Elephas maximus indicus: one gene and its partners. The protein of the gene in region 1 interacts with the protein of each later gene in a pairwise test. Links are inferred from orthologs where the notes say so. Each region holds a gene or a part of one and is shown on either strand. Other genes may lie near its edges. The genes, in order: DTNB, HMG20A, SPZ1 and ZBTB9.

The links.
Region 2: the proteins of DTNB (region 1) and HMG20A interact in binary tests that used the Homo sapiens proteins (3 or more experiments, as listed by UniProt). The two-hybrid records come from large-scale screens. The link is inferred for Elephas maximus indicus from reciprocal best matches to the Homo sapiens genes DTNB and HMG20A.
Region 3: the proteins of DTNB (region 1) and SPZ1 interact in binary tests that used the Homo sapiens proteins (3 or more experiments, as listed by UniProt). The two-hybrid records come from large-scale screens. The link is inferred for Elephas maximus indicus from reciprocal best matches to the Homo sapiens genes DTNB and SPZ1.
Region 4: the proteins of DTNB (region 1) and ZBTB9 interact in binary tests that used the Homo sapiens proteins (3 or more experiments, as listed by UniProt). The two-hybrid records come from large-scale screens. The link is inferred for Elephas maximus indicus from reciprocal best matches to the Homo sapiens genes DTNB and ZBTB9.

The regions. Positions count from the first base shown.
Region 1 is NC_064830.1:43,591,079-43,598,387, reverse strand, and holds the start of DTNB (dystrobrevin beta), read left to right. Parts: upstream 1-4,290; 5' UTR 4,291-4,982; coding exon 4,983-5,128; intron 5,129-7,309.
Region 2 is NC_064831.1:66,143,577-66,150,922, reverse strand, and holds the start of HMG20A (high mobility group protein 20A), read left to right. Parts: upstream 1-4,338; 5' UTR 4,339-4,905; intron 4,906-7,346. UniProt on the Homo sapiens protein: Plays a role in neuronal differentiation as chromatin-associated protein. Acts as inhibitor of HMG20B. Overcomes the repressive effects of the neuronal silencer REST and induces the activation of neuronal-specific genes.
Region 3 is NC_064820.1:85,365,227-85,370,997, forward strand, and holds SPZ1 (spermatogenic leucine zipper protein 1), read left to right. Parts: upstream 1-4,141; coding exon 4,142-5,248; downstream 5,249-5,771. UniProt on the Homo sapiens protein: Transcription factor that binds to the DNA sequence 5'-CANNTG-3'(E box) and the G-box motif. May play an important role in the regulation of cell proliferation and differentiation during spermatogenesis.
Region 4 is NC_064819.1:96,273,139-96,281,137, forward strand, and holds the start of ZBTB9 (zinc finger and BTB domain-containing protein 9), read left to right. Parts: upstream 1-4,992; 5' UTR 4,993-5,205; coding exon 5,206-5,255; intron 5,256-5,433; coding exon 5,434-6,916; 3' UTR 6,917-7,999. Other genes in the region: SYNGAP1 (ras/Rap GTPase-activating protein SynGAP), read left to right, coding at 1,884-2,030. UniProt on the Homo sapiens protein: May be involved in transcriptional regulation.

The DNA of each region.
Region 1 (7,309 bases):
GGCTCGCGAGGAAGAGGCTCTGCGTTAGGTGCCGAAGGGGGCGAAAGAGGCAGGTCCTGGCAGAGGGCAGGTAAGGCAGGCAGGCCCTGGCAGAGGGAAGGGAATTTATTTCAGATCACCCCAAAGCACTGTTTCCCGAGGCGCCTAATAGTAAACCTGTTCACCGAGGTCACCCTTAAAAGGAAAGTGTCCTGAGATAGAGCAGGATGCAGCTAGCGAATGCTTGCTGTTAAATTTCTGTGCCAGACGTTGGGATTAAGAAAGAAGACCTTGCACGCTTAGCAAACGTTTATTGATTAGCTACTGTGGATAGAGAGCCATTGTCAGCACTGGGGCTACAAAACAGTATTAAACACGACCAGGATTTGCTATTTAGGCGCTGACAATTTGATTGTGAGGGTATCCGTATAAAATACACAGCAGCATTGAAATTTATGTCTCATACCTTTTACTTTAGGTCTGTTTTATTTCATCCTACTATGGGGTCATTGGAGGCATGAGTTGCTTGGTTTTGGGGATAAAGCAGAAGGGTCAAAAAAGTTTATGGGAGAAATTTGAGTTTCGCAAGCTCTTTTGCTTAACATTTAAAGGGGCATAGGGGAAAAATAAATTTGACAGCAGAAAGGAAGCTGACCAGGACGGTGCCTGGTCCACAAGAGTTGTGCGGTGAATGAAGATACACATTTAGTCTGAGCAGTATTGATCACTCTCCAGTTAGGAAGACTGATGGTCCCTCAAGTTCCTTTTTTTTTTTTTTTTTTGCCATATGAGATCACCCAGGTTCTTAGATCAGGGCATGTTAAAGCAGTGGTGGAGTCGTGATTTCTTGTGGCCATTCTCCTGCTTTCACATGCTTATTGCATATTGGCTGTGAGCAGCTTGCTTCTTGGGCTTGAGATTTTTTTTATTGTGGCTCTTCTCTCCTTTTTCTATCACTTGAGGAAGAAGAAAAACATTTTTGTTTGGAAAACACTTTTTCATTTTTATCTTGGTTCTTGGGTCTTAGATCTGCAGTAAGATCTACAGATCTTAGATCTGCTATTCTTGAGGGTCAGTTCTACCTGTCTTCTGTCTTGGTTGGATTTTTGGACTCTTGAGCTCAGGGCTGCTGTTTCCGTTTCCTGGGTTGCAATGCCTGTTGGGTTACTTTGTCTGCCAAAATAAAACTTGACCTTTTATGAGCTCTGTTAGGATTTTGAGGAGCCCTGGTGGCACGGTGGTTAAAGCGTTCGGCTGCTAGCCAAAAGTTGGCGGTTTGAACTCACCAGCCTTTCCGAGGGAGAAAGATGTGGTAGTCTGCTTCCATAAAGACTACAGCCTTCAAAACCCTTTGGACCAGTTCTGCTCTGTCCTACAGGTTCACTATGAGTTGGAATTGACTCGATGGCAGTGGATTTTAGCTTGGGTGTGAATTTTTATCATACGTGAGTGGTACTGCCTTTGCAGGGGGTTGTGCAGTCAAGGTAGCGTTGACAAGGTCTTTGAGTGACCACTATGCCCGAGAGACGAAATTTCTACTCAGTCTAGAAAACTAGACTTAGAACCAGTAGAATTTCAACCTACTATTTGCTTATTTTCTATCTTTAATATATATCTCTCAATACCTTAGTTTCCTCATGTAATATTAATCCAAATTTGGCATTGAGGAGCCCTGGTGGTACAGTGGTTAAGTGCTTCGCTGCTAACCGAAAGGCAGGCTGTTCGAACCCACCAGCCCCACTGCGTCAGCCCTTCTGCGGGTGACGTATGTGGCAGTCTGCTTCACAGTTACATTTTTAAAGATTTATAACCTTGGAAACCCTATGGGGCAGCTCTCCTGTATCCTATAGGGTCACTAAGATTTGGAGTGGGTGAGAAAGTCATGAAGAGATACTTTCTCTTTAGTTCTAGGGCTGCACTTCAGGGTAACTACTAGTTCTTGTTTTCGGGTGCCTCGGTCCTGCAATTTTGGGTGTCTTGTTCCAGGCTTCCCTAATGGTATGATATTTATTTATGTTATTTACATTTATTTTTAAAGCGACTTTATTGATGTACGATTTGTATATGATAAAATGCACAGATTTCCTATGGACAGTTGGATGAGTTTTAACAAATGTTTATACTTTGTAACTACTAGCTCAGTCAATATGTAGAACACTGCCATCATCCGAGAAAGTCGACCTAGCCCCACGTTTCATGTATTTGTAACTACACGAGTATCAGGACTGTGGCATCTAGTTGTGCAGGTTGTATACAGCCCAGCTTTAGCGAGTGCCTGGCAGTTCAGATCCACCAGCTGCTCCTTGGAAATCCTATGGGGCAGTTCTACTCTGTCCTGTAGGGTCGCTATGAGTTGGAATTAACTCGATGGCAATGAATTTTTTTTCATTTTCATCAGAGTCGCTCCTGGAGTTGTGTAGTACACAATATGTGTGGCTCTGTGCTGCAACACTTCTAAGGGCTCATGAATACACACTTGCTTGTGAAACACTCAAATTGTACAAACAAAACCCTCCTTGAGCCACGCCCTTCTCCACAGAAAGTACAGTTATCAGTTTGTTGTGCTCCCTCCAGACCTTTTTTTGCCTTTTCATGTGCCCATAGGTAATACAGGAGCCCTCCTGTGTACAGTGGTTAAGTGCTCAGCTGCTAACTGAAAGGTTGGCAGTTTGAACCCACCCACTGCCCCATGGGAGAAAGATGTGGCAGTCTGCTTCCATAAAGGTTACAGCCTTGGAAACCTTATGGGGCAGTTCTCCTCTGTCCTATAGGGTTGCTATGAGTCAGATCAACTCAGCAGCAGTGGTTTGGTTTTTTTGGTTTATAGGTAATACAGAAAAGACCAGGGATCCCCACCTACGTTAATGACATCATACCATACCAATCGTTCTGCAACTTTTTTTAAACTAATAGACTGTCTTTGAGGTCTTTCCATGTTGGAGCAGAGGGATCTACCTAATTCTTCTTAACTATTAATCTCTCAAGTAGCATGTATGCACTCTAACTCAAAACCGAACTCACTGTCATCTAGTCAGTTACCGACTCACAGTGACCCTATAGGACAGAGTAGAACTGCCCCATAGAGTTTCCATGGAGCGCCTGGTGGATTCAAACTGCCGACCTTTTGGTTACCAGCTGTAGCTCTTAACCACTATGCCACCAGGGTTTCTGTATCACTGTAGATTATTTAATCCTCTTTTCACTAGTGGGCATTTAAGCTGTTTATAGTCTTTTGTTTTTTCACGCATTGCTGCAGTGAATAAGAAGTAGAATTACTGGGTCAAAGGGGTGGCGCAGATTTTAAATTTTAATTGGTGGAGATTTAACCATGTTGCTACTTTTGGATCTGGTTCGCTTATTTTTGACTGCAGAGAGTATTCACCTGTAGACTTCATCACAGTTTATGTTCCCTTTTACTCGGTGAGGGTCAATTAGGCTACTTTGGATACTAACTCTTTGATGGATATGGGTTTTGGAAATGCATCCTGCCAGTCTGAGTCTTGTCCTTCCCCTTGTTAAAGATGCCCTTTGTTGTGTACAAGTTTTCAATTTTCATGTCTGGTTTAGGAAAGTTTTCTCTATCACAGAGTAGGAATTATATAGTCCTGTATTTTCTTCTGGAAACCCTGGCGGTGTAGTCGTTAAGTCCTACGGCTGCTAACCAAAGGGTCAGCAGTTCAAATCCGCTGGGCGCTCCTTGGAAACTCTATGGGGCAGTTCTGCTCTGTCCTATAGGGTCGCTATGAGTTGGAATTGACTGGACCGTACAGGGTTTGGTTTGGTTTTGGTATTTTCTTCTAAAAATTTTGCTTTTCACGTGGAATTTGTTTCTGTGTGTGCTGTAACAAAGAGAGAGAATTTTTTTCAATTTCGTAACTAGTTTTTCAGCACTCTTTAATTGAGGATATCCCTTCCCCTGCTGATTTGACAGCCACCTCTATCATAAGTCAAACTCTCTGAGCCTGTTATCTTTTTGGTAGTTGGGACATCTTGGCTACAGATTTCGTTTTTTTGATGCTTATTGGTTTACTTATATTTTTTTCTTTAGTCAATTTTGGTCATCCTTTTCTAAAACAATTATCTGCTTTAAATTCTGAAATATATTGACATATTTATGTTATTTAATTATATATGTAACATACTTTTATGATTTAAAAAAATCTTTGCCATATCTGTAATTCTTTTATTCCCCCCGTGTTGATTAGCTCTTTTTCTTTATGCTTGATCCATTTGACTTGAATTTTATTTGTAATTAGTTTTTTCCTTCAAAGAACAGATTTAGTCTATTTCTTAATTTTCTATTTAATTGATTTCTTCTTTTATCTTTCTTATATTCTTCCCTTCTTTCAACTTAGAGGTAGGCTTTAGATTTTTAAAATTTTCTTATGGTAAAATGTAAGAGATAGGTTGTATCTGTTTGTGCCCTCCTTTCCTGTAAGACAGACAAACACCCCTGCCCTTGCCATGAGATTGCCAGTATCTTCTGGGGAAGGAAGATACCTCTATTGTGTCGATATCATAGTTAGCCATTTGAGTTGCTTTGGCTAATGAAAAATGAATGGAGGTGATATTGCATGTAGCCACCAGTTTTCTTTCTGTTTTCCCTCTGCCTTGAGAATGGTACGTCCCAAATAGTGTATGTTCCTTCAGTCTGAAATTTAAATGAAGATGTTACATGGAAGACAGCCACAGCTGACCTGTAGCCGACATGTATCACAAATGAGAAATAATAAGTCTTTGTTTAAGCCACTAAGATTTTTGGCTGTTACTAGTTTTAACCTAAAGAAAGTTGATTGATATAAAAATAGGTTCCAAGGATACTATGGTAAATTATATTACTGCTGCCGGTTACTTGCTCACGTGAAGAGCTTACCTGTGGGAGGCATGTATTTCCTGGCCTCATTGTTAGGTTTGGCCACGTGACTTGCTTTGGCCAATGAAATTTGAATGGAAGTGGAAGATGCTAATTCTGGTTCTGAGAGGGGAGCTTTGAGAGCCATTGCATGCTTCTGCCAGCTCTCTTGTACTTTTCCCTCTGGCAGGAGAATGTCGTGTTCCAAACAGGGGCTGCTCCTTCAGCCTTACCCTGGCACGAAGGCGTGTGGAGCAGAGCCAGAGAGACCTGTAGCTGCTTCAGCCTGCATGTATCGTAAGAAGAAATAACCTTTTGTTACTGTAAACTGCTGAGATTTTGGGATTGTTTTTCCCTTAACATAATCTAGTGAAAACAGATTATGTTTGCTGTTCTTTTTCTAATTTTATAAGTTGAATCAATGCATTAATTAAAAAAATGTTCTTATATTTTAATAAGTGCACTTAAGGATACAAAGTTTCTGCTGAGTACTACTTTTCTCCTGTATCAAGTTTTGATTGTATACTCTCTTTGCATTGTTTGATTCTAAATATGTGATGATTTCCTTTATGATTTCCACTTTAACCCTGAGTCATTTAGGAAAATATCTTCTAATTTCCAAACATTTTTTTTAAACTAATTTTTTTTTTAATTGTTGGGTTTTATTTTAATTGCACTGTGGTAGAGAAAGTGGCCTTATGGAAATGATTATTTGTAATCTAGTGTGATTTCCTTTGTGACTTACTCGATTTTTATAAATGTTTTGACATGTATTTAGAAATAATGAATATTGTCTATTTGTTGGGTGCAGGGTTCCATATTACTGTTCGATAAGCATATTAGTTTTTTGTGATTTTTCTATATCCCACCTAATTTTTTGCCTTTTTAATTTATCCATTTTGTATATAACTATATTAAAACCACTTACTGTGGTTGTAGAATTATCAGTTTCTCCTTGTAATTCTCTTAGTTTGTCTTTATATATTTCTAGTTATGTTGCTAGGCTCATGTAAGTTTATGATTGTTGTACCTTCTTGGTGGATTGCTTTATAATTTTGTAGTGTCTTTCCTTGTCCTCATAATGCCTTTTCCCTTAAGATTTATGTTGTTTGATGTCAATGTTGATATTTATAAAATTCTAGTTTGAAATTATTTTCCTTCAGCACTATTTTATGATCTTCTGGCTTTTTTGTTGCTGTTGTTATTGAGAAAAGTCTGCTATTGGTCTACTTGTTATTTATTTGTAGATAGCCAGTCTTTTGTCTCTGGTAGTTTCTAAATTTTATTAGTGATGTTTTATAGTTTTACTGTGATATGTTTAGGTATGGATTTATTTATTTTGCTTGAACTGTGGAATAGACCATCAGTTGCTCATATGCAAGTTCAGGTGAAGCTGAAGAAAATTAAAACAAAAACCAAAATATGACCTTGAGTATATCTCACCTGAATTTAGAGACTATCTCAAGAATAGATGTGACACATTGAACACTAATTACTGAAGACCAGATGCGTCGTGGGATGACATCAAAGACATCATACATGAAAAAAGCAGAAGTTCATTCGAAAGACAGGAAGAAAAGAAAAGACCAAAATGGGTGTCAGAAGAGCCTCTGAAACTTGCTCTTGAACATAGAGTAGCTAAAGTGAGCAGAAGAAGTGACCATGTAGAAGAGCTGAGTAGATTTCAAAGGGTACCACAAGAAGATAAAGTATGATAATGAGACATTTAGAGACCTGGAGTTGGAAAACCAAAAGGAAAGAACATGCCCGGCATTTCTCAAGCTGAAAGAACTGTGGAAGAAATTCAGGCCTCAAGTTGCAATACTGAAGGATTCTATGGACAAAATATGGAACAATGCAGGAAACAGCAAACGAAGATGGAAGGAATACACAGAGTCACTGTACCAGAAAGGATTGATCTACATTCAGCCATTTCAGGAGGTAGCATATGATCAAGAACTGATGGTACTGAAAGAAGAAGCCCAAGCTGCACTGACGGCATTAGCAAAACACAAGGCTCCAGGAACTGACAGAATACTAATTGAGGTGTTTCAACAAGTGGATGCAATGCTGGAGGCACTCATTCGTCTATGCCAAGAAATTTGGAAGACAGCTACCTGGCCAACTGACTGGAAGAGGTCCAGATTTGTGCCCTTCCAAAGAAAGGTGATCCAACAGAATACAGAAATCATCTAACAATATCATTAATATCATATACAAGTAAAATTTTGCTGAAGATCATTCAAAAGCGGCTGAAGCAGTACATCACCAGGGAACTGCCAGAAATTCAAGCTGGATTCAGAAAAGGATGTGGAATGAGGGATATCATTGCTGATGTCAGATGGATCTTGGCTGAAAGCAGAGAATATCAGAAAGATATTTACCTATGTTTTATTGACTATGCAAAGGCGTTCAACTGTGTGGATCATAAAAAATTATGAGTTGTCTCATTTTGAAATTTTATTGTTAATTATTAGA
Region 2 (7,346 bases), on another chromosome or scaffold:
CATCCACCCCCTCCTCCATATCTCTCATCATTTCTCACCAGAAATGGCTTCCTAACTAATTTTGCTTTGTGTTGCCTTTCCCTAACCCAGCATTCACTGCACTGCCAATATAACATAGGTCTAAAACACAAATCTGATTCTATCACAGCACAATGGAATTTTTTTTCACTAAATGCTGAGCTTTTAAAACTAAGTTCCTTAAAACTGTGTCTACCTATGGCTACTTAGTATCTGACATGTCCAAATTGAGATGTGCTGTAACTATAAAATACACACCAGATTTTGAAGATTTAGTGTGAAAAGAATGTCAGTGTCAGTAACACTTTTTATATTGATTACAGGAGCCCTGATGGCACAACTGTTAGGCACTCAACTGCTAATGCAAAGGTCAATGGTTGGAACACACTAGCAGTGCCACAGAAGAAAAGACCTGGCAATCTGTTTCTATACAGTTTACAGCCTAGGAAACCCTATAGGGCAGCTCTACCTGCCCTACAGGATTGCTATGAGTCAGAATAGATTCAGTAGCATACAACAACATATTGATTACATGTTGAAATGACAATATTTCAGATATGTTGGATTAAACAAAATACCGTATTCCATACCCACTGCAGTCGAGTCATTTCTGACTCATAGCAACCCTACAAGACAGGGTAGAAGTGCCCTATATTAATTTCACTTTTTTTTTTTTTTTACTTTTTTAAATATGGTTACTAGAAAGTTTAAAATTACATATGTGGCCCACATTAGATTTCCATTGGACAGTGCAGGTCTACGAGGCCCACATTAGATTTCCATTGGACTGTGCAGGTCTACAATGTCCTTCCGCTCTTTCTGAGCTTAGTTACTCCTACCTACTATTCAAGATTAGTTCAGGTAACCCACTAAGATGCATTCCAGGACACTCCCTAGGACCCCAAATCTGAATCAGCTACCCTTTCTCTGTTCTTCCATCCACAGGAACCTGTGTGCATCCCTGTCATACATCACGCCATATTATAATTATTAAAAACTATCAGCTATATTTCCCCCACTAAACTATAAGCTCCTTGCAGAAGGAGATCTCATTCAACATATACTCAGGGCCTACCACCATGCCTGGCACTTAGAAGGAACTCAAAACATTTGCCAAATAAATATGAGCTACTTATTCTGGCCTGAAAATTCACAGAATTTCTCATTCTCCAAAGAGTTTCCCAAGGAAAACAAACAGGCAGTGAAGGAGACTAGACTTTCTCAGGACCTCTAGTCATGAAAAGACTGGGGGGCGGGGAGAAATTACCATCAAGACATCAGCAATAAGAAAATTAAGTGCATGACACACACCTGCCTCTTATAGTGAAAAAAGGGGTTTGCAGCAGTGATGTGAAGCCTTGAACTCACCCTTGGCATGCCAGGGGCCACAGTTTGGGTCCTAAATTACTTAAACAATCCATCCAACAAGAATATGATTTGGCAGGTTTCAACACAAACAGCTAGAGCCCACCACCTATTCCACTTTAACAGTACATCACTACAGTTAAAAAAAAAAAAAAGAAAAACTCTCTCATGAAATAAACGCTAATCTCATGATGCTGCACCACGGAGCAATTTAGAAGAGTTATTATACGAAATGTGCCAAAGCATGAATTTATGGCTGATGCTTATTTGGCAAATATGGTTGGCACTGCTAGATGTTGAAAAACATGCATGCAAATAAGCAAATAAAAGTTTTTAAGCTCACAGACTTAAATATTTACATTACCATAAATGTACAAAGATAAACGTTTATATGAATACATATATAATGCATTCCAGGAACACATTTTTTAATGTGATTGTCAGGAAACAGTTATAAAGTGGTATTATTTCTTTACAGGCCTCAGGGTAGATTCTTAAAAGTGCATTCCGACAGAATGTTAATGGGGTACGAACACTTCATGGCAGTTTCTCTATGGTATCGCTGGGTAAAATGAATAAAAAAAACCAAACCCAGTGCCATCAACTCGATTCCGACTCATAGCAACCCTATAGAACACAGTAGGACTGCCCCATAAGAGTTTCCAAGGAGCACCCGGCAGATTCGAACTGCCAACCCCTTGGTTAGCAGCCGTAGCACTCAACCACTACACCACCAGGGTTTCCGTAAAACGAATAGTCATAGTATAATAGTTCAAAGCAATCTTATCTTTTCCTTTCCCAAAAACACTTCTCTTCCCATCCTGGAGCCTAACCAAACACAGATGTCAGTCCCTAAGTGGGGGATGGAGGGGACACAACCTCTACACATCAAAAAGCCTTAAAGAAAATAATTTGACATTTTCCCACATAATATAATCATATTAAAGTCTCCAAAATAAAGACATATTTCCCTCTCTTCCTCTCTGACATCTATGGAAAGATTATTTGTTTTTTCGCATAGTTTGGGAGCTTGTCATAGCCAAAACTCACTAGCAATGGCATGAATTCTGCTTCCATTGTTAACCATTAATCTCTGCGTTGAGGCTATAACTCCCATCTTTGAAAGCAAGAAAGTGTACTATACCTGCCATTAGTTTACTAAATGAGTCACCAAAGAGAAGAAGTGCCAGATACTTCAGAAAGTAATTAGGGCAGTCAGTGAATTGAGATATCTAGAAATGCTCTGAGATTACAGGAGAAGCCATCATGAAGCAAGTAGCCAAGATTGCTCCTGGAAAGTTTTACCCCTGTGGATAATTGACGTTTTTCACTTCCACACTGCAGAGAGCAATATGAGTTCTCCTGCCACAGACACTATAACACACATCACTTCTGTGGGTGAATAATAATCAGTAAGCAGGCCTCAAAACAAAAACCTCAAGACAATCCCAATTCAGGTGAAAAGCTGTTCATATACATCATCCAAGGACCTAAAAATAGTCTTTCATGTAAGTCTCCAAGTATTCAATTCAAAGTATAATCTTACCACATTTAACCGAGACAGAAGATAAATGTAATAAAGATGAAATCATAGTTTTCCTCTAACTCATCACTAACCCCTCAACGCCAGCCTTCCAATAACCCCATTCCACAGCTCTCAAATTCCCGAACTTGAATCTTAAAAAAACAACCGATTGCAAGAAAGTAACATTTAAGGGGGGAGTCCCTCTTTCCTGTTGCTCTCAGCAGTCTTTAATGTAGTCACAAGATGAAAGAGAAAAGCAACCTTTCAGGCGGATGGTGCCTGCGAAGGGGAAATTCTGGGCAGCAAGTCCTCGTCGAAATAGGAAAGAAAAGTTGCAAGAAAGGATGAGTCAAAGGGCAAAGGAGAAACAAACGGACCAACCGAACCACTTAAATCCCTCAAACCACTGAGTCAACCAGCATGTTGGGGGCTCACCAGCCGCTGCGCGAAGGGAGCCAGCAGAGAGCCCCTGGGTTTCGTCCTGACGCGGCTGGGGAGGTTGCGCCGGATCCTCCCCGGTTTGGGAGCGGGACGACCGTGCAGACTTAGCAGGAGCGAGAGAAGCCCTTCCTGCCCCAGCCTCCCCCGCGTACAGCTTCTCCAGGCTTCGCTTTCCCCCGCAGCTTCCCAGCCGCGCCCGGGGCGTCCTTCGCCGCCAGGTCCCAACTTTCCCTCCTCTGGGGGGCGCCGCGCTACCGGGGCCGCCGCCGAAGGAAGGGGAAGAAAGGGGCGGCCGGGGCGCAAGGGGGCGCGAGGGGGCGCGCGGCGCCGGCGGGCCCCCGAGCGGCGGGGCCACTAGGGCCGGCAGCGTGCGATGGCAGCCGCAGCCGGAGAGCCCGCGCCGGGCGGGACGCACCAGCCGCCCAAGCCCCCGCGGCGGCGCCAGCCAGACCCCCGCCGCCCCGCCCGGATTCCCCCGGGTCAGCGCCCTCACCCCGCGGAGACCCTGCTCCCACCAGCCGGCGTGTGAGAAGAGGCGAGCGGAGGGACGCGTGCAGCCCTGCCCCCGTTACCTGAAGGGCGCACACGCCGCCGCGGGGACCACCATCGCCGGCTGTCCCGTCCCCTTCCTGGCGACCACGGCCGCCGCCGCCGAGCAACTGACACTGACTAACAACAACTAACTAACTACTCGCCGCCGCCGAGTCCACCGCGCGCTCCCGGCCGCTCGCCACCCGCCCAGCCCACCAGCCCGCCCGCCTCCTCCCAGCCCTGCGCGCCGCCCTCTTCAAGCTCTGCCCGGGAGCGAGCACGCGCGCGCGCCCAGAGCCTCGGCCTCTCGCCCCATCGTCTGTAGCCTCAACCCCGTGGGAGGAGTCGCCGCGAATCCCCTCCTCTCCGGTTCCCACCGTCAGAGGGTGAGACGTAGAGAGCGCTCGATTGGCCGAGGGGGGCGTGGCCAAAGCCAGAGGGCAGGACGACCGGGACCTTAGCGCTCGTGAGGGGAGATTTAGATTCAATTAAGTTCCAGAAGAAAAACAGGACAAAGTTATTGGCCTATTTGAGTTCCGAATCTTCTTTGTCAGCCTGCCGTCGAATACATACTCTGTGTTTTCAAGGACTCCAGAGTGTAGTAATAACCAATTCAAGTCCCGCTACTTTCTGCGCCTGTTAGCGATAAAAGCGAAACTACAACTCCCAGAAGCCTTCGTGAACTGAGTCTCTCTGTGCGTATTCACGTAGTCCTTCGCCGCAATTGAACAAAATAATCCCTTCATCTTTCTGAAGGTATCGGAAATAATATTTCATTTTTCTACTGATCGGGACAATTTTAATTGTTACTGTGATAAGAGAAGTTACCTATAGGAAGGTGATTAAGCGATTAGGTAAAAGGGAAAGAAAGGACACCAAATAAAGTGCTGCGGAGGAATCTTTGTCAAACTGTGAGAGGACGGCGTGCGAAGAATGAAGGCGTTTGAGAGGGGCTGAGGGAATTGTCCTCTGTGCGAAGGACTTTCTTTAGGCCCCAGGCCCCTGCCTGCCCTTTTCATCAGCAGGTCAGTAAGCAAGGCGAGGCTGGGGGTGGCCGTAGTTGAGGTGCCCTTCTACGCTTGAAGATCATGCCTCTATTGCCGTTGTTGTTATTGGTTTGCCTCGGTTTGAGACTAACTAAATGGGGGCGCCTCACTTCCGGTTGGGGGAGGGGAGGAAACCTGTCATGGGGGAGGGGAAAACAACGCATTTCCTGTGGGGGTAGGGGGATAGTTTGGGGTTGTGGAACCCGCTTCCAGGTCGGATGAGGGCTTAAAAAGGTGGTGGGTGGTGCTGTTTGCATCGATGATATCTTAGAGTTTTGGGATTGTGTTTTATATAAGAAGTTACGTTGTCCCACCAAGTCGTGCTAATCACCCGCCTCCAGTTAAATGTGTTTTATTTCCACATGTAAGATGGGACATTTCCTCCCCAACAAAATTTTCTTAATGTATTCTTACTTCAAAGAATATGAAAACCCTTGTTAAAATTCCCTAAGCGACGGCGTGTTTTGCTTGTGTGACTCATGGATTGTCCACCCATGCTCCCGTACTCAAGTCCAACCTTGACTGAGTGAGGGATGGTGGTCTCTGCCTTGACATGCCTCGAGAACGCTGTAGCTACTCTTTTAAGGAGACGGTGTATTAGAGGATTGAATCTTTCATAAATTATAAGGCATTTTTACTTCGCCAGAGGGAAAGTGATATAATGAAGTAGTGAAATATTTGATGTTACCTTAGCTAGTATAATTGGCATCTTTAATTCTTAGATTTTAGGCTACAGGTTTTGTCCTGTGCCTGAGAACAACTTCCTCAGCCTTAAAAATTCTTACACGTAGTTGACATGTAGTATTTGTGCAAGTTGTGTTTCAATTCATTTCCCCCTTGTAATCGAAATTCACCGATTTAAAAATGATATCTGTTCTTTGTGGTTTTGAAGCATGGTGCCAAAGGTCATGAAACTCAGCTCAGAATTTAAGGAATGAAAAAAATGAACACAAAAAGGGCAAAAGATAAACAAGAATGAACTTTATATTCCTATATTGTCATTTTTTTTCTAGGGAACTATGTAAAGTGGAATAAACACTCAACAATTCTGATTCTTTAGCTTCTGTTGTCAAGGATCACAACACTTGTTCTTGTGTATGTGCTGAAGAAATCTACTTACTAGGAGCTTACTTTGTAAAATCTCAATGATTTTAGTAATTTTGGAATGGATATCTATTGAATGAACCTGGAACTATAACGTCTTTCAAGAATTTTTTTTTTTTAATTTTGTTGTGTTTTAGGTGAAAGCTCACAGTATAAATTAGTTTTTTATTAAAACATTTATACACAAATTATTTGTAGCATTGTTTGCCATCCCTGCAGTGTGTCAGCACTCCCCCCCTTTGTCTTTCCACCCCGGGTTCCCCATGTCCATGTGTCCAGTTTTCCTGTCCATTCCTGCCTTCTCATCTTTCCTTTTGGGTAGGTATTGCCCATTTGGTCTCCTATATTCGAATTCCTCAAGTGTGTTATTACTTGTTTTATAGGCCTGTCTAGTCTTTGGCCAAAAGGTGGACTTCAGGAGTAGCTTCAGTTTTGAGTGAGCAGGGTTTCCCGGGGGCCATAGTCTCAGGGGTTCCTTAAGGAATTTTTTTAAAGCAGTAAAAGCCTGTGTGTTTTTTCCTTTGGAATTGTTAATCTATCTTCAGAATTTGCAGTTACTTTAATTCTAGCTTTTAAAAAGCCATTTGGTTTAGAGTTGATTGTGCAATAATAACACCCAAAGCAAACAAACCCGTTGCCATTGAATGGGTTCCGACTCACAGTGACCCTATGTATATAAATGTTACAGTAAGGAGGAAAAATACATTTTCTAATCTTCTGTAGACTTAAAAGAAAAAAAAAACAGCTTAAGTCTCTAAAATCAATAAGTTAACTTTTGAAAAATCAAAGATCTGCTTCAGCAGCTGATTGAACAGGCAAGACAAAATAAAGTCTGCATTAGGTTAGGCACATATAGACAGGGCTACTTATAGTCTAGTCCAAGTAAGTATCAATAAATTAATTAGAGAGAGGTATTCACTGTCTTCTTTATCACTGTAATGTAGAAGACAATGCACGGTTACCCCAGCAAATTATACTATTTTTTTTTATTGGGAGTTATCGAAATATGGAAGGATTATGGAACTAAATGAAAAAGATTTTTTTAATTCTTTTAAAATATCGATTGAGATACTGCAGCATTGCCTTTTGGAAACTATCTTTGAAAGGCAAAGGAGTTTATTAAATTGGTCTTCATGACATTCTATGGAAGAAATTCAGTATAATAGTAATAAGAAAAATTGCTGCAGCTAAGACTTTAGCAGCTTGAAGAACTGTCTGTTCATACGAAAGCAATATATAAAACACATATCTGAAAGAAGCTGTTTTGTTATAAGTGGCGGTTATTCATTGGTTCCATCAAAGTAGAAATATTAGCA
Region 3 (5,771 bases), on another chromosome or scaffold:
TCTTTGTATCGCTGTATCTTCCTCTCCATATGGAAGATCTATGATTACGTTTTCTTAGTTTCTCTTTATTGTTTTAATGTTGTCTTCTTTTATACAATAACATCACTGTTACCCTGTTTTGAGCTTTTTTTTTAAAATCTTGCTTAGTTTTTTTGATTTCCCTGCCTGGGTTGACTTCTGATTGCTCTGCCCAGTGTTCTAGTCTTGGGTTAATACCTGATATTATTGATTTTCTAACCAAAGAACTCCTTTTAGTACTTCTTATAGTTTTGGTTTGGTTTGGTTTTTATGAATTCCCTAAACTTCTGCTTATCTGTAAACGTCCTAATTTCACCTTCATATTTAAGAGAGTTTTGCTGGATGTATGATTCTTGCCTGGCAATCTTTCTCCTTCAATTTTTAAATAAGTCATCCCATTGCCTTCTTGCCTACACGGTCCCTGCCAAGTAGTCCAAGCTTATTCTTATTGGCTCTCCATTGTAGGTGACTTTTCGTTTATCCCTCGCTGCTCTTATAATTCTCTCTTTATCTTTGGTTTTGGCAAGTTTGATTATAATATGTCTTGGTGACTTTCTTTTAACATCTACCTTATGTGGATTTCAGTGAGCACCTTGGATAGATTATCTTCTCATTTTTTGTGATATCAGGGAAGTTTTCTGGCAACAAATCTTCAACAATTCTCTTATATTTTCTGTTATCCTTCCCTGTTCTGGTACTCCAATCACTCGTAGGTTATTTCTCTTGATACAGTCCCACATGATTCTTAGGGTTTCTTCATTTTTTTAAATTCTTTTATCTGATTTTTCTTCAAATACATTAGTGTCAAACGTTTTATCTTCAAGTTCAGAAATTCTGGCTTCTACTTGCTCAATTCTGCTCCTCTGAATTTCTATTGAGTTGTCTACTTCTGTAATTTTATTGTTAATCTTCTGAATTTCTGATTGCTGTCTACAGATTTTTCCACCTTATTAAATTTTTCATTATGTTCCTGAATAATCTTTCTAATTTCTTCAATTTGCTTTATCTGTGTGTTCCTTGGCTTGTTCTGTGTATTGCCTCATTTCCTTCCTGATGTCTTGAAGGGTTCTGTATATTAATCTTTTGTATTCTGTCTCTGGTAATTCCAGGAATGCAGTTTCATCTAGAAGATCCCTGGATTCTTTGTCATGAGAGCTTGTTGAGGTGATCATGGTCTGTTTCTTTATGTGACTTGATATTGACTGTTGTCTTCGAGCCATCTATAAGCTATTGTATTAGTCTGTGCTTGCTTACTGTGTCGTAGCTTCTTGCTTTGTTTTGTTTTGATATGCCCAAATGGGTTGCTCAAGTGAGCTAGCTTGATTATCTTCACCTTTGGAGCTCTGACGTCCTGTCCCCAGATGGCTAGAGCTGTTGTTAGGTATATCAGTCTAGGAGTCCATTCACTTTTATTGTATGAATTCAGCTCAGTTGTCCAGGTAGCTGATCATCAAGTGTGTGGCACAGGCTCTGTCCTACAGTCTTAGAGGGGCGGGGTAATTGGTGTATATACTGCTATCTGATTACAGCAGGGGATCACTCTCTGAACAAGGCAGGGGGCTGAGAGCTGACCCCAGGTGTCTCTGAGGAAAGCGCGTCCCTGTTCCCTCGAGCATGCAGGTGGGTAGGTTCTGCAGATGGACCATGGTCACCCAAAGTTTTTGGTTGTAAGGACTGGGAGGTACCAGTTATCCTTGGACCCCTGTCATGGGTGGCTGGGTGACCTGAGTGGAGCTACTAGTCCTTAGGTCCCTGATGTGGGTAGGTGAGGACACTGTTTAATAGGCAAAGAAATGTCAAATATCAAACACCCGTCTCTACACTGCACAGCTGAAACAGTTGGAGTCTTCCAACAAGGGTCTAGTCTCCTGAAATAGGCCCACACAGGTCCATGCAGAGGGGAAAAGTGCTCAAAGTCCACAGACTGTTTATGCCTGGACAGGAGCTGCTTTTGTCCTGAGCTTCCCCAGTTAGTGGAGCTGGCAAATTGTCTTTTCCCCCAATTGCATTTTTTTTTCCTTCTCCAAGGACAGGAGGATGGCTCCAGGTGCACAACTGGGCCTATCTCAGGCCCAGGGAATTTAGCCACTGAAGCCGGCTTGGGGGTCGGGGGCATGCTAAAACATACGCAAGTACTTAGCTTTTGGCGAGAGTGCCATTCTTCCCTGGTTCCAGAGGTGTGAGTAGGCTGTGTGGCTGGCTGCTTCTCCCTGAGGAAATTGTGGCCAAATGCTAGTCACCAGCCTGCTGCCACCACCACCTGGGAATGGTGCCTGATGGCTCCCCACGATTCAGGTCTGGTAACTCCTCTCTGCTTCTGAACCCTCTTTTCCTCCTCCTGCCCTTCTGTTTGTTTTCTAAGCTTGGCTTTGATGCTCAGGGCTCCTAGCCTGTCATAAATATACTCATTTCACTTGTTTTTTTGGGTCTTTGTTATAAAGAGGGCTTGCCAGAAGCGTCTGTCTATCTGCCATCTTGGCTCAGCCTTCCCCATAGAGTTTTCTAGGCTATAATATTTACAGGAGCAGATTGCCAGGTCTCACAGAGCTGCTGTGTGAATTTGAACCTCCAGCCTTTTGATTAGCAGCCAGATGTTTAATCATTTGTGGCACCAGGGCTCCTCAGTACCAAATCAGAAATGTCTCCTTATCCTGGAAATTAAAACACAAAACAAACAGTCTTAATTGATTCTTTAGTCAAAGGGGAAATATAAGCCAAAGTGGGACCTTGTGAGACAGAATTGAAGCATAAGGGCAGTCCCCAGCCCCTGTGGAATCATTGGGTGAATTAGAAAAGGTGTTCCCTCTTCAAGTAAGAAAGATCAACACTGCTGTACCTGTGGATAGTCAGATTACCGCTCCAGGGCCAGCTGGCTGGGTGATGAGCATGAGGCTCAGGGAAATCAAAGCCAAAGTCAGTTGGTGGCTATGGAAGAAAAACAGATACATTTCTCTCCTCTTAGGAAAAAAATACTATTAGAATATGAATTTTCCCTTAAGATTGGAAGCAAACTTCTAGTTCATAAAATGCTTGCTAGCAAGATTTTTCAAGGCCAACGAAAGATCTCAACATGTGGGGCGTTTTTCTTGATTGAACTTAATGTTTTTAAGATCCTGACTCTTAAGGACCAAAAGACAAAAATACGCTAGGTTTAATACTCTCCAGTTACTTTTCTATAACCCATTATATATTTAGCCCTTTCAAACACGTTAGATAAATTACGTATGTCGTTTTAACAAGTTACTGTGAAAATAAGTGATTAAAGTTTTATATCACTTGATGTAAATAATTTAGGAGTAAGCTTACTCAGCCTGTCTTAAAGGATACCTGTATTCAAAGCCAAGAGAAGTCCTAATTTTTAATTATGTTGTTAAAGAATCATTTGGATAGTCTCTTCCTATTGCATTACAGTATATTGTAATGGAGTTATTCCCCCTAAAATTACAAACAAATACTGTAATTTTTAATTCTGTATTGTTTGGATAACTTTCTTTTACAGTAGCATCTCTCCTAGAATGGGAGCAACAAGGTCTCCGGGTTCCTTGGGCTATGCACTTAGGTGGCAGAAAAACAGGTGCCACGGTGGAGTTTGGAATTGTGGGTAGTGGGGGTGAGATAGGGGAGTCACTGAAAACAGGTGGAATGAGATGAGTAGAAACCTAGAAAAATAAGGTGAGGAAGGACTATCATAGAGGTCCTTCTGGCATGGGAGGTAGAGGTAGCTCAAGGTTGATTTTGATGCATGAGTCACTGGGCAGGAGTTTAAGAGGCTTCCATTGTGACACGGGAGACAGAAGCTGGGATAGGCTATGATGATGCTGTGACAGAATAAAGACCTGGTTGCTAGGGCCAGAGATTAAACACCAGAAGGCTGGTGGAGGAGATGGAGCCACAGCTCCTGGTCCCCTTTCCCACCCTCCTTCACCCCAGGCTGTCTGAGATGTCATCTTCCACCTAAATATCATCTCTCCAGTTCCCAGTCTTCACTCTGGTCTCTAGCTTCTGCTTGGTTCCACATTCTCTACATACTTCCACAGGGGACCTACACCTTCCCTTCCTGGGATCTCTTAAGGTTTTCTGCTTTCCTCTTGCCCTGATTGCCAGCCCTGCTAATTCAGCTGAGATGGAAGCACCCACCCTGCCTGAAACCTTTAGGCTTCCTCCTGATCTTCATCAAGAGTCTTGGGACCCTAGGATGATCATCGCCTTATTTGAAATTGGATCAATATCCCTTTTCTTCTGGAGTTCTCTCCTTTCTCTAAAGAAGAATAGCAATCAAATTTCTGAACAACTGACTGCACAGAAGTTTGAAAAGGTCTTAAACAAAATTGAAGGTATCCTTAAAAATATTACGGGTTTTGAAAAGACCACAGATGCAATAGTATCTTTTGAGGACACCACTGTTTCTGATGATGCCTCAGAACTTAAAGAAAAAATCAGAAAACTTGACCAAATAAATAAAACACTATTCAAAAATCTGCTTACTAGTTTAGACCCAGAGAAATTCCAGAGTGCAAAGAAACAGGAAAAGATATTGGAAAACCAAAACTCCGAGGACACGGTACATTTTGCAAGGGATCTGGTAAATCATTCAGAAGAAAAAAGAGCCCTTAATGAAACTCAACCAAGTAAAGAGAAAGCAAAATATGGATTACTTCATGCTCAAGAAGAAAATATCAAACTTAGGAACAACATGGAGCAGTTACTACAGAAAGCAGAACACTGGAGCAAACAACATACTGAGCTCAGTGGACTAATAAAATCGTATCAGAAATCTCAGCATGACATAAGAGAACTTCTTGAAAATAATGGAGTCCATTTCCAAATCCAACCAAATAACAAGATGTCAGCTAATTATGAGATGGAAGAACAAGTGAGGAAATTGCAACATGACACTTACTCATTGCATTTGACTGCAGCTTTATTGGAGAATGAGTGCCAAATCTTACAACAGAGAGTAGGGATTCTCAACCAACTCCATTATGAGAAAGAGAGAGCGCAGACAGACAACGAACAGGGCAAGAAAGAAAAGAAGCCATCAGAAGCAGAAAAAGTAGGAACTCATAAGCAGAGAATGAAACAAATGGAGGGTACACTTCAGAAAAGAGACAACTTTTATATAAGGCTGGATGTTTGTCGTAATAAGAAAGCTCACAATAACTGGTTCAATTCTCGTATTGCAAGAAGAGGCCTTGTGGGAAAAAAGAGGTCAGCCAGCAGACCAAGATAGAAAATACCAAAAGTAAAAGAAGAGGCAATTCTTCAAAAAGTTGTATACATCCAACTCCAGGCACGAGCAATCATCAAACCTAGGTTAGATTTCTTGGATTAACCAAGAAAGAACTATAGAGCAGGAAGACTAACACACTATTCATTACTTCAGTAATTATGTAAGTTTGGTCTTTAATGATCATTAGTGCCAACATTAAGTTCATAATTTGCCACCTTTGCAATCTGCTTGGCTTTTATAGTTAATAGAGATCTTATAATGCTTTAATCAGGATTAGAATTTATCAGGTCAAATTAAGTAAAGATTTAAATAAAAATCGGGATGAGCCAAAGAAATTATTTATTCTTTATTAATCATTACCTGAAGGGAAAGTTTTGGAAAAAGAAAGTATAAGGTTGTTTTTTTGTTTGTTTTGATAATATTTTTTGTATTTTCGGTGAAAGTGTACACAGCAAACCAGGTTCCCATTCAACAATTTCTACACATACTGTTCAGTGACATTGGTTACATTCTTCACATTGTA
Region 4 (7,999 bases), on another chromosome or scaffold:
ATGCTTTATTTTTATTTTTATTTTTTTTTTTTATTTTCTGTGGGATTGATCTGCAGTGGGCAGTGTGGCTCCTCACACTGTAATTTTAACTCTCTGCCTGCCCAGCCTTTCTGTCAGAGTAGTTAGTGATCTGTCAACAGATGCTAAAAGGCACCAGGGGACCTCACCATTTAAAGGACTCCTGCAGTGAATTCTTTTGTAAAATGAATAATGGCACCCTAATTTATCTACTTTCTAAATTTGGGTCCACGGGGGTGTAGGGGGCATGCCTAAGTGCTGTCGCCAGCAGATGAGCAGAGAGAAGGGAATCTGAGGTTTCCTTCCTTGCTCTCCCGCCATCTCAGGATACCCTAGCATACGTAATTTCCTCTCGCTGACTTGGAGAAAGTGTGTGATACACCCAGCCAGCTAAGAGGGCAGCTTTGCTCAAGGCTGGGGTTTTGGTGACTGAGAGTTGAGCTCTTTGATCCTGGGATGGAAGGGAGAGCTGCTCATCTGGGAGCCTTTACTTGGAATGTTTTTGTATTCTTGGAGGATATGGTCAGGCATAGCTACTTTGCCAGGCCTAAATGCCCTGTGGCCCTGGAAACAATTTGGACATTTGTTTGAAACCACTTCTGGGTATCAGTCCCTGTGTGACTTGGCTATTAAAAAATTAAAAAAAAAAAAAATTTTCTATTGTGCTTTAGATGAAAGTATTAAAATTAATTTTGACTCTGTATTTTAAAAAACCCGAGTGAGTGACCCAGAAGTACAGATGGCTTTCTTTCTCTCTCTCAGCTGAGGGTAGGAAGCAAGAATTGGTCCAGGATTAGTAGGAGGAGATGAGAATAGGACCAGAGGTGGGAGTGAGTAGGGTCTGGTACCTCTCACTCTCTAGCTGGGATCCCAGGGAGAGGGATTAAAAAGAAGATGGGGGTGGAAAGGAATGGAGCCAGTTTCTGCTTCCTGGGGATGCAGAGATTGGGGCATGCTGTGTCTCTGCAGAAGCTTCTAGTCGTTTTTTGCCAGAAGTGTGAGAGAGGCAATCCCTCCCACAACATTTTTCCCTTTCCAAATCACTTCCCTGAATCCCCTTCCTTTCCCCCCAGTACAGTTAAACCTCTCTAATTTGGAATGTTATATTTGAGAAGATGGCCACTCTGAATAAGTGACAAAACTGAATGACAGTGTCTATTTAATGAAATGCATGTCTTCAAAATACATACAGTAAGTAGAACTTGATGAACAAGGCTTTTTCCACTCGAGGCCCTCAGGGAGCATGCGTTAATGAATAGATAGGATTGAAAAGTCTGTTTTCTGGTATAGGTTAAATATTCCCTCCTACAGATGCATTTCCACCATAATTTGCTTAGCACACCCTTTCTTCAGAGATAAAGGAAAACTCAAGCCCAGTTTCTGTTCAGATTATGACAAAAATTCCAAATCCATGGGGGTTTGGATTAATGAGGTTTTGCTGTACTGCCTCCCCTTGTTCCCTCAACACAAAATTCCTACCTCGGGTTTCGGGGTGGGCTGGGAGGCGGGTCCCAAGAGAAGGAGGGTGGGCTGGGCAGGGAGTATGCGGTAAAGATAGAGGGGATTGGGTTGGGGAAAGGTAGGAACTTGTTTCTTTTGAGCTGGTTTCCTGGTGTGACTCCCTGGGTTGAAGGCCCCAGTTAGGAGTCTAGGGTTGAGATTTTCTTCTCCCTGACTCCAGAGGACATAACTTCTACTGCAGGTGAGAAACAAAACAGGATGGTGGGGATTGTCCTGGGGGGAGGGGGTGGGACATGGCTTGTGGAGTGGTCGGGCTATGGGGGAGGCCACAGCTAGGGGGCTGGCACCCAGGCTCCCGCGAAGCGTCTCAATAAGTCCGCGCTCTCCTCTTTGGTATCTTGCAGGAGAGGCAGCTTCCCCCCTTGGGTCCAACAAACCCGCGTGTGACGCTGGCCCCACCTTGGAACGGCCTGGCCCCCCCAGCCCCGCCCCCCCCACCCCGGCTACAGATCACCGAGAACGGCGAGTTCCGAAACACCGCAGACCACTAGCCCACCCAGCATCACCGACCCATCCTCCTCCTCGCCCATGCACTCCACCCCGGAACAGCACCAACCACCAGGACTGGACTTCACCGAGGGACAGCGGGAGTGCCTCCCTGGATGCCTCCTTGGGGAGCACCGATCCCCTACCCCCACTGCACCATTCCTAGAAGGGAGAGTGGGGACCCTCAGCTGCTCCCTTTCCTACCTGTCGGGGTGCTGCCCCCTCTGTGACCCCCAGGGACCCTAGCCCTAGGACACCACCTACCCCACACAGACCCCTTCACTCCGGGGTGCTATCCCCATCCTCTGCCTCATCGTTCCCCTGAGCACTGGGGGACAGACCTCGCCCCCACCCTGGGGGTGTGGTACCTCCAAACTTTCAACTTCAGGGTGATTTTTTAGCAGTAACCAGAGCTGACAATCTAACTCCCCTCCACCGCCCCATTTTGGCCTCCCCTGCCCCCCTTGTTATGGGGAGGGGACCCCGGGTGAGGGGGCCCTATTACCCCTTGATTTCTCAGGAGCGTCTGGGGGGGCTCAGCACGCACAAACTCCTTCTCCTCCCACCACTCTTAAATTTACTCCCTTCCCACCCAGAACCCAGATGGGGTGGAGGGGGCCACCGGGGCAGGGAGGGGGCGGCAAGGGGGGAATGGGAGTTGTCTCCCTTCTTCCCACACCTGATCTGCTCTCGGCTGGTCCCAGAGCGGGGTGAGGGGGCTCATGCCCCCCCCTCCCCCAGTGTGTTGGGTGGGGTGGAATTGAGGTTAGAGTGAGGGGATGGGGTTTAGGACGGTGTGTATGTGGGGGAGGACAGACTAGTTTACCTGCCATATCCTCACATACAGTCCCCCTGCCCCTCCCCTCTCTCTTCTTGGTCTCTACTCCCAGGGGGAGGGGGGAACTTACTCTAGGAAAAGCCATGTCTCCCTCCCCCCAGGGTGGGGGGGACCTGTGATGGAGGAGGGGTGTTGGGGGGGCCCCCTTCCATGACTGTGTCCCCTGGGAGGAGGTAGGACAGGGCTGTGCTTCCCTTTCATCCTCCCTACCCCCCAATCTCCCTTCTCCCCCTTCCCTCCCGCCAGCTCCAGAATTTTTCGGTGTTTCTCTGTACATAGCTCTCTGGCGGGATAGGGGAGGTAGGATGGATGGGGTTTGGGGTGGGTAGGCCATGGGAGGGGAGAAGCCCCTCCTAGGCACCCCCTCTTCCCTAACTGCTGTCCCCTACCTAGCCTTGCCTCCACATCCTTTGCGTTTGGTATTGAGACTCTTCCCAGACTCCGCCCTTTCTTTTGTATGGACAGTTCCCCTTCAGACCCATCTCCCTACACACATACACCCAGCCGGGGCCAAATTTATACTTATATAAAAGTTGTAAATATGTGAAATTTTATCCCTGTGCCCTTTCCTCTGCTTTCCCACCTCAGGCCCTACCCCTGGACCCCTGTTCCTCCTCTCCTCTTTGGCTGTTGTAATTATCTGGGGTTTGTACTGTATATATCCAGGGTGTGTGTGTGTGTGTGTGTGTGTGCGCGTGTGGGCTGGGGGCAACCCCTCTGTACAGAGCTTCCCGGCCCCCCCCCTCCACTCCCTCCCCACCCACCATCCTAAGGGTAGGGGACGCTTTTCCTACCAGTTTTATTTTGTTTTCTCGTTCTCCCTCCCCACATGACTCCCAGCCTTCTCTATCCCCCATCACAGTCCCTTTTTCTCCACTCCCAGCCCCGTTTCCTTTTTTTCTGGAGTGTGTGGTGAAACAGAAAAATGTTTAATAAACAGAGATTGTTCTTTTATTGCTGTGCTGACTTTCCTAGGCGAGGCCCTCAAGATGGACCAGCAGGGTGGTAGGATCTGCTTTTCGAGAGGAGACTAACAGTCTGGAGAAATGACTATTATCCTTCTCTGAGTGCACAAATCCTCACAGAATGACTCTCCCACCCAGCAAGGAGATTTAATTTTTTTTTTTTTTATTATGAAGAGTAGGGGTTTTGCAGGGACTAGTCAAACCTCCCCAATGTAGTGTGCCCTCACCCACCGTTCCACTTAGACTGAAGGAGCAAAGATGGAGGAGGGGAGGGGCTCCTGATAGAAGATTCCAAGTACATGTACCTAAAAAAACTACTTTGTAAAAAACTGTCTGCCATCAAGTTGGCCGTACTCATAGCAACCCCATGCACAACACAACACCGCTTGATCCTGCACCATCACCATGATCAAGTTGTGGATCGGCCAGTTGGTGACCTATAGGGCTTTCATTGGCTGGTTTTTGTTAGATAGGCAGGTCTTTCTTCCTACTCTTAGTCTGGAAGCTCCTCAGAAACCTATTCAGCATTAAAGCAACACTATGCCTCCATTGATGGTGCCTGCCCTGAAGTGCACTGGCTGGGAATCAAGCCCAGGTCTTCCCCGTGAAAGGCAAGAACGCTACCACTTAACCACCACTGCCCCCTAGTAAAAAATAATTACCAGAAATAAGGGTTGTTTAATTCATTGCTGGTGAAAACGCTCCTGTGCGGAATGGAGGAAATTTGGTTTCCAGTTCCCGGCCCACCATTTGCCAGCTGAGTTTATTCCAGCCTCGGTTTTCCTGCATGGAAACCGAGGATGTAAACACCTACGTGGAGGAGCTGGTGGGAAGATAAAAGATGATGTGGCCAAGCATCTAGCTCCCAGTAGGTGCCCAATTAATCTCGCCGTTCTCAGCCCCTATGGGGGGCCGGGCGCTACATTCCATCACCACGAAACGCAGTTTTCCGGGGCGACTCACAACTCGCTCCCCCACGTACCGAGTCGGCAGCGTCCCCCAGCCACCTCTTCGGCCCAGGCGCCAGGCCAGAAACCGCACCAGCTCCGCCCCTCTCACCCGCTCAACCAGTCAATACCAGGCTTGTAGACTGCCGCCCTCCGATTGGCTGGCGCCCCAGCCTGCTGGTTGCACTCGGCGTAGGCGTCCGGCGAGGAGGCGGCGACTTCCGGCCCAGGACCGCGCTGAAGCTGCGGATGCGCTGTTAGGTCCACACCGCGTGTGTACCGGTGGGGGTGTGTCGGCGGGCAGGGCAGCCGGGCGGGGCCCCGCGGTCTCTGCTGGCCGTGGCCTCCCCGGAGCCGACCTCGGGCACCGTGAAGGGAGACGGAGCGGCGGGGCAGGAGCGACCCCGAGCTGGCGAGGTCAGGCTCGTGGATGAGAGACTTCCTCATCTTATTCCGCAGGCCTTGGAAGTTACAACCCCGGTTGGTAACTTGTCGTTATTGTTTGTTTTTTTGTTTTCTTGGTGGGGAAGTGTGCGGGACTAATCTGCCAAAACCTCCACAGACTGAAAAGTTGACAAATGTTGGAGGGTAGTTGTTTGAGGAGACATGGTTCCCCTTATCCAGGGCTTCTGTGACCCCCCGTCTCTTTCCTCCACAGCCTTCATCCCGCGTGGGATCTCTCCCCAGCCCCCTTTCTCCTCTTGGCCACCCTCTGGGATCGCTCTCTTTCCGAGGAGGCCATGGATACCTCGACGCCTTTGCCGCCTGTGGCCCCCTCCCCCGTCTGCAACCCAGCTCCACGGACAATCCAGATCGAGTTTCCTCAGCATAGCTCATCGCTGCTGGAAACCCTGAACCGCCACAGGCTAGAGGGGAAGTTCTGTGATGTGTCTCTCCTGGTGCAGGGTCGGGAACTTAGGGCTCACAAAGCCGTGTTGGCTGCTGCCTCTCCTTACTTCCATGACAAGCTTCTTCTGGGGGATGCACCGCGTCTCACCCTGCCGAATGTCATTGAAGCTGACGCCTTCGAGGGGCTACTTCAACTCATTTACTCAGGACGCCTCCACCTGCCACTAGATGCTCTGCCTGCCCACCTCCTTGTGGCCAGTGGCCTCCAGATGTGGCAAGTAGTAGATCAGTGCTCAGAGGTTCTTAAAGAACTAGAAGCCTCAGGTGGTGGACTCTCAGCCCGTGGAGCAACCCCATACCGCTCAGTTCTTTCCGCTACATCCACTGCAGGAGGCTGGTGCCTTCGATCTCCCCCTTTCCAGACCCCAGTGCAGTCATCGCCCTCTGTGGAGAGTCCTGTTGTAGGGGAGGGAAATGAACTGGGAGAGGTATTACAGATTCAGGTAGAGGAAGATGAGGAGGAGGAAGAAGAAGAAGATGAGGACCAGGGGTCAGAAGCACTCTCGCAGACTCCTCAGCCTCAGAGAGTGTCAGGAGATTTCCCCCGCCTTCATGGATCCCACCCATCACCAAAATCCACTACTCCCTGCAAGCTTCCAGAGGGCGAGAGTGCTCCGTCAGAGCCTCTTACCACTTCTACTGCACTGCCCCTCAAGATCTTCTACATAAAGCAGGAACCCTTTGAGCTTAAGGAAGAGATACTAGGAGGTGGAACTCAGTCTGGAGGAACAAAGGAGGAGACCAAAGTGTTCCCTCGGAACACTGAAAGAGATGGGGAGTTAGAATTATTGCTGCCCTCAGGAGCAGACGCACCATCTGGGGGAGGAGGCCCCTCCTGGAAACCAGTGGATCTTCATGGGAATGAAATCCTGTCAGGAGGTGGAGGACCTGGGGGAGCAGGGCAAGCTGTGCATGGGCCTGTGAAACTAGGAGAGGCACCCCCTGCAGATGGAAAACGCTTTGGTTGCTTGTGTGGGAAGCGATTTGCAGTGAAGCCAAAGCGGGACAGGCACATCATGCTGACTTTCAGCCTTCGGCCCTTTGGCTGTGGCGTCTGCAACAAGCGCTTCAAGCTGAAGCACCATCTGACAGAGCACATGAAGACCCATGCTGGAGCCCTGCACGCCTGTCCCCACTGTGGCCGTAGGTTCAGAGTCCATGCCTGTTTCCTTCGCCATCAGGACTTATGCAAGGGCCAGGGCTGGGCCACTGCCCACTGGACTTACAAGTGATTTCTGAGGCCATACACTGATTTTCAGGACAAGAGAGCCACTGCTACTGATGGATACTCACCCCTCACTATCATTGCACTTCAATCCTGGATCTTGTAATCATGTCAAGAGGGTAGATACATTATGGGTCTGTGTATAACCTCTGTCTTCAGTGTGGGCCTCAGCCTGGCAATTTGGAAACTCAGATTTCTCATCTCACCCCGGGTTTTTGCTAACCACCCTGTACCAAAGCCCACTGCCATTGAGTTGCTTCTGACTCATAACGATTCTATAGGACAGAGTACAACTGCTCCATAGGGTTTCTAATGCTATAAATCTTTATGGAAGCAGACTGCCACATCTTTTTCCTGCGAAGTGGCAGGTGGGTTCAAACTGCCCTCCTTTTGGTTAGCAGCTGAGTGCTTAACCACTGCACCACCGGGGCTCCTTAACCACTTGATAGGAAGGTGGTTTACAGGTCATATTTAAACTGATCACTTGCCCATAATGGACCCTCCTTTCCTGGTGGTGGCGTCCATTCAAGAAACTTAATTTCAGATCAGAGGGTTATTTGGTGAGAGATGAGTTAGAGCAAAAAGACATGATGATAAATTTTACATTCGGTCTCTGTGAAGGGTTAAAAGAACCAGTGTCTACGTAGAGATACACTTGATTCAGAGTTTGAGTAAATGGATGACTAAGCTCTAAGCTTCCCTCATCACTGCTGGAATGATGTGAGCAGAGATCTTTTTCTGTACCTATTTTGTTGTATCTTTCCAGAAGCCTCTCTGATCGTAACTTACTTTCTTACTAGTAGATACCTTCCCAACTTTTATTTTTTATATTGTAGTTGAGCACTTTAACACACTGAGCATTCCATGTGTCATTCCTTGAACCCTCTTTAAGAGAGGGTATTCCCTCACTACCCTGTGCCTCTTTTCTGCCTTTGTCACCACCACTGGTCCCTCATATACTAATCACAGTGACTGAAATGTGAGTCGACTCAGGAGATGGCCACCGACCTAAATGCTGCCAGGGCAGCACCACTGCACTCTGAACAAGTTGCAGTGGGCAGAAGGACTCAGGGCTGAGATAGCTCATGTT